Rattus norvegicus: one gene and its partner. The main gene of each other region encodes a partner of the protein of the gene in region 2 in a complex. Each region holds a gene or a part of one and is shown on either strand. Other genes may lie near its edges. The genes, in order: P2rx4 and Ap2m1.

The links.
Region 1: the proteins of Ap2m1 (region 2) and P2rx4 are in contact, whole or in part, in a crystal structure (PDB 2BP5), measured with the Rattus norvegicus proteins. Residues at the interface, in NP_446289.1 of Rattus norvegicus: Phe174, Leu175, Asp176, Lys203, Asn217, Leu316, Ala317, Gln318, Lys319, Glu391, Val392, Pro393, Lys400, Val401, Arg402, Tyr403, Leu404, Ile419, Lys420, Trp421, Val422, Arg423, Tyr424, Ile425; in NP_113782.2 of Rattus norvegicus: Val375, Glu376, Asp377, Tyr378, Glu379, Gln380, Gly381, Leu382, Ser383, Gly384.

What each region holds. Positions count from the first base shown.
Region 1 is NC_086030.1:39,516,579-39,520,386, forward strand, and holds part of P2rx4 (P2X purinoceptor 4), read right to left. Parts: intron 889-3,808; coding exon 741-888; intron 1-740. UniProt on the Homo sapiens protein: ATP-gated nonselective transmembrane cation channel permeable to potassium, sodium and calcium. CTP, but not GTP or UTP, functions as a weak affinity agonist for P2RX4.
Region 2 is NC_086029.1:93,865,478-93,869,822, forward strand, and holds the start of Ap2m1 (AP-2 complex subunit mu), read right to left. Parts: upstream 3,004-4,345; 5' UTR 2,976-3,003; intron 721-2,975; 5' UTR 678-720; coding exon 604-677; intron 1-603.

The DNA of each region.
Region 1 (3,808 bases), on a different chromosome or scaffold from region 2:
CGATCTGTTTACACAGTAAGTTCTGGGTTCATCAGATCAGGGCAAGCATAGTGAGACATTCGAAAACAAATAAATACCAAAAGACTCTAGAGAAGAGTCTGGGAGCCAGTAACGTAACGGTATCAGCAGAAGTCAGAAGAGGCCATCAGATCCCCTAGAACTGGGGAACTGCCAATGGTTGTGAGCCACCACAGAGGTGCTGAAAACTGAACCCAGGTCCTTTGGAAGAGACTAGCTTGAAGTCCTTGCTTTCCCTTTCCTAGCTCCAAGCCAAGTGCTCATAGCTCACGCAATGTGGCCACCAAACACACCAAGCCAGCCCATCAGCTGCCAGCACACCAGCCGTGTGGAAGGAGACTGGAGGGTGGGGCCTGGCCAAGGGGCTCATAGCCGAGTCAATGTTTAACCTGGGCTGGAGATCTGACTCAGCAGTAGAGCGCTTGGCTAGCATGTGTGAGGCCTCTGGCGCTAGAAAAAAGAGACCTTACTCTCAAGAGCTTGGAGACATGAAGGTGTGGGAAAGACAGAGTATTGGGTTGGAGCCAGCCACACTACAGAGCTCTCTCTAGAGCTCTCAAGGGTTCTGTGGAAGAAATGACATCCCAGGGAGATCTGGTGACTGTATTGCCTGCTTGGGCTAAAACAGCCTGGGCCCGGAGGTGGCGAACTGGGGCCACTCACTGTATGTGGACAAAGTCAGCAAAGGGCTTCCTGCGCACAGATGTCACGCCAAGCCATACCTGAGCTGGAATCACATAGTCCGCCACGTCCCAGATCCGGAATCCAAGCTGAGAGGTGTTGGTCACAGCCACACCTTTGGCTTTGGTTGTCACCGAGCTGACCACGGAGTCCGTTTCCTGGTAGCCCTTTTCCCACACGAACACCCACCTGTGAAAGACAGTAGGTCATAGGGACGGTAAATTCGAACTGGCACCGGGGAGTCTCCGATAGCCACAGGACTGAGGTGTGGCATTTACCAACTATGTGAATGGAAAAAGCTGCCCAACGTCTACACTCTGCTACCGTGAACAGGCGTAGTAGTCCCACTGGTTATTTGTGGGAAATGAAGGCCGGGGTTGGCGAGCCCAGTCGTCGAGTATCCAGGAGATACAGAGTGAACGTTACCTTTATTCCTGGATGTCTGAAGAGCCTCTAAACACTCTGATCTATGGGACTCACCAAAAGTAGGTTATCAGAACAATAGTTTCCACTTGATTTGCACACAGTAGGTCACTTAGTCCCAACCACTTTATGGGGCACATAGCATTGTTCTTACCTACAATGTATAGATAGGAGCAGGGGCAAAGAATGTCTAAGCCAAGCGCTCCTATGGTCATATCGGTAGCAAGCAGCAGGGGAGGGATTTGAACCCAAGCCAGAAAAACCTCTGAGACGTTATTGTCTCCAGACAAGAGAACCTTATCTTTGAGGCAACTTTGGGTGTTTAAGACAGGCTTTTGCTACGTAGCCCTGGCTGATCGGGTGCCGGCTTTGAGGCTCAGGGTAGACTCAGACTCTGAGGTAGCAATCCTCCCACCTCAGACTCCCAAGTGCTGGGACTGTAGGGTGAGCCACTCTACCCAGCTGTTGGTTGGTGTGTGGTGTGTGGGTATTTGTGGGTGGGTGTGGCTCCCGTGTCAAAGTCAGACGACAACTTTTAGAAGTTGATTTTCTCCCTCGCAGATTCTGGGGACCAGATTCAAGTTGTTGGGCTTGTAATAGCAGTCACTTTGGTTTTTTTTTTTTTTAGACAGGGTTTCTCTGAGTAGCCCTGGCTGTCCTCTGTAAACCAGGCTGGCCTCGAACTCACAGAGATTTGCCTGCCTCTGCCTTCTGATTACCGGGACTAAAGGCGTGCACTTCTACATCAGTCTAGCAAGCACTTTTTCAGACACAGTCTTGCTGTGTGGACTATGATGGTATTCACTATGTAGCCCAGGCTGGCCTTGAACTCCCTAAAATTCACCTGCTTCTGCCTCCTGAGTGCTGGGATTAAGGACACGTGCTGCCGCCACGGCTGGCTTCCTTCCACCTTGTCTCTTTGAGACAGGATCTAACTGGGGCTGGATGATTAGGCTAAGCCATTGAGTGCCAGGGTCCTAGCTGTGTCTGCCTCCCCAGGGCTGGGATTACAGGCGTGTGATTCAGCACCTCATTCTGGGGATCAAACTCTGGTCGGCCAGCTTTGTGCATTGAGTACTTCACTGTCTGAGCTCTCCCCTCAGCCCCTCGGGGAAACTTTTTATTTATTTATTTATTTTTTTTTTCAGAGCTGGGGACCAAACCCAGGGCCTTGCGCTTGCTAAGCAAGTGCACTACCACTGAGCTAAATCCCCAACCCCCGGGGAAACTTTTTACAGTCCCATCTTTTCCCCCCAGGGATTCTGGTCATCTCCTGCTCCTTCCTTCTAAAGGAAGGGCATTGCCCCTGGGCTGAGTTAACTACACACCTGAAGGCATCTGTCTGTGTGACGGGGTCACTGGGTCACTTAATTGCTCCGCACCTCAGCTTGTCCTGCCTTTACACTGAAGGATAACAGAACTTTACAGGGTTTCAGGGAGATAAGTTAATAAGACGAGAGCAGTTATCTTAAGCACTGCCGGGCAGTCTGAACACTGCCAAGCTGCCGTCACATTGCTACAGAACACCAGTCTGTTACTCCAGATACACCTCGAGCGACTTCAGAAATAGGAACTCGGTTACCTTCTCTCTCTCTCTCTCTCTCTCTCTCTCTCTCTCTCTCTCTCAAGATCGAGTTTCTCTTTGTAGCCCTGGCTGCCTTGCAACATACTCTGTAGACCAGGCTGGCTTCCAATCAGAGATCCGTTGGCCTCTGCATCCTCAGTACTGGGACTAAAGGTGTGCACCCCTACTGCCTGGCTCTTGGGTTACTTTCTCCTGGGTTTGTTTGATCCTCGATCCTCTGCCCATCCTAAAGATGGTTTCTCTCCCACTGAGTCCTCTCCTACGGGGCTTCCAGGAAGCCAACAGCACCGGTGTTTCCCTGTAATCCACTCTGGTGGAGAGGTGAGGGCCGAAAGCCTTCGGGTTTCCTGACTCCGTACACCGAGGTGCTGAATCAGGAAGGGGAGATGATGCCATCACCACAGGCTTAGTTATTTGCTCGTCACGTGAAGAAGATCACAGGGAATTCTGAGGAGACTCGCTTCATGCAGAAAGAGGTCACACTTTTCACCAAGATTAATGAAGCCAGGAAGTTAACAAAGGCCAGGGTGTGATGAGTTGCCCAGCACTCAGGAGGCTAAGGCATAAAACTCACTTTGCGGATTCCTTGGCCAGCCTGGATTACTTAGTGAGTGCAGGGTTACCCAGGCTGCAGAGCTGGGCTCTGTCTCAAAACAACAAAAGCTAAAAGCTAAAAGCTTAAAACCAAGTCCTGAGGGGTTGGGGATTTAGCTCAGTGGTAGAGCGCTTGCCTAGCAAGCGCAAGGCCCTGGGTTCGGTCCCCAGCTCCAGAAAAAAGAAAAACAAAACAAAACAACAACAACAAAAAAAAAGTCCTGAATTTATACCATGAGTCAATGTTGGTCGTAGTGAAGATGGGTAAAAGTGAAAGCACTATTGATTTAGAGATGATCGATCGGGACAGGCACTTCTGTGTAAGGAGACCCTACTACCACTATGCTGCCCAACAGAAATGGAATACAGTAGGGTAGGGTAGGGAGGGTAGTTCCACGGTAAGACTCCACGATTGGAAACAGAATGCAAGCCAGGTGTGCCAGTGAATGCTTCTAATCTCAGTTCTAGACCAGCCTAGAACTCCTATCATGTTACTGGCCAGAGAAT
Region 2 (4,345 bases):
TTTTGGGGGGGGGGGATAACCAAGGTAGGAAGAACCAGAGGAGCCTAACCTCAGGTTATACAGTGGAGGAGGCCAGAGCGTGAAGCAGAGAGAGAAGTGAGGCTGCAGTGACTCTTTGTAAGACCTGAGGTCTTAGGCGCTACCCAGGTCCACCCGGATGAACTACAAAGGCAGCATGACCCACAGAGCGCAGCCTGTTCACAACCAGGGAGGGTCCAGAAGAACAGAAAACAGCTGAGTCAACAGACTAGAGAGGGGTTTTAAGGGGATCTAGGGAAGGCTCTCAGTATGAGAAGGATTTGAAAGCAAGATTTAGATGGATTAGTACCACCGAGCACACACTAACCACACCCACAGGAGATAGTGCTCCCTCCTGAAAGGAAGAATCAACCTGACCAGGCAAAAGCACTCATCTTCAGCCACCAGACCAGACCTACAGGGAGCAGGAAGGGCAGGAGTTCCTAACCCTAGGGGGTGGAGGTGTCATCCCCAGGCCCTGAGCCTAGCAGCTGGGCCGATGCCCAATGGAACCAGGCTATATTGCATGCTCAGGCTGAGGCGATGGGGGGGCTGGGGCACAGCGTGCTCAGGCAGGGGACTTACCCGATGTCATCTCTGTAGACTCGGGAGATAAGCACCTCCCCCTTGTGATTATAGATGAATAAGCCTCCGATCATGGCGGCAGCTCAGTCTCTGTGACCCATTGCTCTGAGAACAGACCTAGGTAGGAAAGGTGGGGATAGGGAATGGGGAAATCTTTAGATCCCTTGCCCATCTCAGCGGGGCTGTACAGGGCTGCCTTTTTTCCTGACTCAGTCCTCTAGCAAGTGACCCTGCAGCCCTCCCAAGGAAGCCCCGCCTGCACGCACAGCGAGGCTCCAGTTCCTGTTTATTCCACACTGGATAGGAGACAGTACTTTAAGTGTGGGGCCCAGGGTTAAGGCCATTTTACTCAGTCTTTTCTGAGGGCTGAGCTTGAAAGTAACCACCCCCCCACCCCCACTCGCACCCCTCCCCGTCGTCTTCACAATGCTGAGCTCAGCTAAGATTCTTTTCAAACCCCTGCTGTGCAGACTCTCACTCCCCGCAACTTCAGTGAGTCAGAGAAAAGCTTGCCCGCGGATGCAGGAATGGCGGTAGGGATTAGGCGGTAGGAGTTAGCTTGTGCCCGCCACCAGGCATAACTTTTAGAGCAAGCACTATTCTTCCAAGAAGGCAGCAGAGCATGACCGTCTACAAGGCTACACATTCCAGGAAAGGGTGTGCAGAGTGAGGTGGGGGTGGGAGAAGAGGCCCTTAGGCTCTAACACAAACCCAGGAATGTGGCTGAAGCAGGCTCGTCTTCCCCAGGCAGTGAGATAAGCAGGCAAAGGAACAGAGAGGCCCAGGGCGAACAAACCACGCTCCAATGCTCCCAAGTTCTTCTTAGAAAGATTTCATTTTTACCTTCACATAGGTATGCCAATGTGTGTGCTGTGTGTGTGGAAGTCTAGACGTCAGGTGGAGCCCTGCCCTCCATCCCACAAGCCTGAGTTACAGGCAGTACTGAACCAAACGACATGGGCTGAGACCTGAACTCAGGTCTTCTGGAAGAACAGTAAGGACTCTGAAATGCCAAGTCCCTCTTTCCTTTCTTTTCTTTCTTTCTTTCTTTCTTTCTTTCTTTCTTTCTTTCTTTCTTTCTTTCTTTTTGAGCCCCCTTTACAATTATTTCTGGTCACTGTCTTATCAAAATTTCAAAATGTGACAAAAATTAGGTCTGTATGTAGCATTAATCCTGCTAAATTGTGACTCCAGAGCTGCCAAGTCAGTCACTTCTGGCCTGGTGTTTACTAAGCAATGGGCAAGGTAACAGAATGTCTCAACTGCCCAAATTCATTTGGGTCAAAATTAATTTAGAATATTTAAGAAAATAGGTTAATCTGGTTCTAGATTTTTCTGGATTAACCCTGGTATTAATTTCACTGATGTTAGTCTAACAAGACTTTCTGAAACTGAAAAGTTAACCCTTGAAACCCAGTCACAAGTCAACTAAGGTAGTGGACACACTTGTCTCACAGTTCAAAGAAGGTGAGAAAGAAAATGCAAAATGGAGGTTGTCCCCTGAGCAAAGGACCAAGTCCACAGGTATCAGCCGAGGGTGGGAGTGGTGGTGGAGGTGGAGGTGGCTGTGGTTGTGGTGTGTGTGTGTGTGTGTGTGTGTGTGTGTGTGTGTGTGTGTGTGTGTTGTGTCCTGGACAGAAATGGAATATTTAGTTAAGGGACCGATTAGCTGTAATTGCTAGCAATAGACCAGGATGACCCCACAGCAGCAAATACAGCTGTGGGAGTCCCTCAAGTTCTCCTATGACAAAGGTCATAGGAGCTTTGGAGGAGCAAAACAAGGCGAAAAGATAGACAGTAGAAAAAGAGAAAGCTGAGAGATAGGGCCTACTCTTCTTTTAGTGAAGCATGAGGGGTTGGTGGAGTTTTTCTCAGCAGAGGGGGGAGACATCTAGGCCGAGGAGATGTCACCAAGGGATGCGGGGGCTGTCATAGGTCTGAGGTAGAAGAGCAGTGGGGGGTAAACCAGGAGGAAGGAATCTCTCAGTGTTCCAGAGAGACCTGTCACTGTCCAAGGGAGTGGCACCAGGGGATGTCAATGTCCTGGGGGATGGGAGAATGGGAAACCTCGGGGTTGAGCGGTTGTCAGGATTCTAGGGATGGGGCGCCGCGCGGGGTCCCCGGCTCTAGGATTCCGGCCCGAGTCTCCTCCCGGAGACGCCCAGCGGGTTACTGGAGGGCGTCGTTCCCCGCCCTTGCTGCAATCGCGCCCAAGGCACCCCCGCCCGGTCGTCTGCTCCCTCCCGGGTCTGGAGGCTGAGGCCACTCCCGGGTGCGGGCAGTTTTCCACCCAGCACAGTGCGGGGCAGGGCAGGTGACCACGGCACCCTCGCCGCCCGGTAAGGATCTCTAAGTCAAGCTTCCCAGCTCACCTGGAGTCAGCAGCCCCCACAAGGCAGGCCTGGCCACTCTCGGATCCCAAGATGTCCGCCCGCCCCCAGCTCGCCTGTCTGCTGCCTCCGCTTTCACTGCAGTGCTCCCGCCCCGCCCCGCCCCGCCCGCAGCTGCGCCTGCGCGCTCACCTCCAGCGGCGACTACAAGTCCCGTCAGTCTCCGAAGCTTTCAAGCTGACACATCCGAGTGCCCTAAGTCTAGCAAAACTACAACTACCGACAGCCTTCGAGACAGAGTCGACGTCGGCCTCAGTGCGTCTTGCTGGCAACACGGGTCATGGTACGCTCCACAGACTATTTGCTTCACTGAGAATCACGGGAAGTGTAGTCTCTGTAATCCTTCTCGTTCCTAGTTAGAGGAGGTAGGCTTTAAGAGACCAAAGCTGTTTGTTGAAACCAATTGTAAATTTTGAATTATTAGATTTTTATTGTCTCCAGATTTCGAAGAGTGGCTATATTCACTTTACAAACACAACTTGCATAAGCCCGTTACTGCTGAATTTATTGCTTTTTAACACATTTGATTCTCCCGAGGTTTTATATATATTCCAGGATAGGACTGAGCCCTTTCTCAGGGATAATTATCCAAACAGAAAGGCTGGGAAGGAAAGCACTAATTCTTGGTAAAACATTAGTGTTTTTCTCAGCAAAATCTGTGACTGTGGTGTGCTGGTGACATATGCCGTTAATTCCAGAGCTCTGAAGGCAGAGGCAAGAGCATCTCTGTGAATTTGAGGCCAGCCTGGTCTAAATAGGGAGTTTCAAGACATCCCAGGCTACAAAAGGGAGCCTGTTTGTCCACCACTCCAGTTTAGTTGGGCATGGGATTTTAAAATCCCATTTCTCATCTGGGCAGTGGTGGCACATGCTTTTAATCTCAGCACTCAGGAGGCAGAGGCAGAGGCAGAGGCAGGCAGATCTCTGAATTCAAGGCCAGCCTGGTCTATAGATCGAGTTCTAGGACAGCCAGGGATATACAGAGAAACCCTGTCTCAACCTTAAAAAAAAAAAAAAAAGATTTCTTATGATATCCAAACTGAGAATGAGGCAGAACCAACCCGAACACAAACGGCTGTCTGATTTTTGCCAAATCTAGAAAAGTTGGTTTTTCTCTCAGTGGACAGAGACATCTGTTGCCTAAACAGGCCAGAGACTTCTATGGCAGAAAGGAAGGGGTGGGTGTTCAAATCTGGTTGCTAACCCTACTATTCCTAGCAACCTCCTTCCAGAAGCCAAAACCCAGAAACTTGTAACCTTTGAAGGCTTCATGTCTATCTTCACAAAAGCTTTCTCTTCCCAACATACCCTAAAAGTTTAGAGTAAATTAGTGATAACAACAACAACAACAT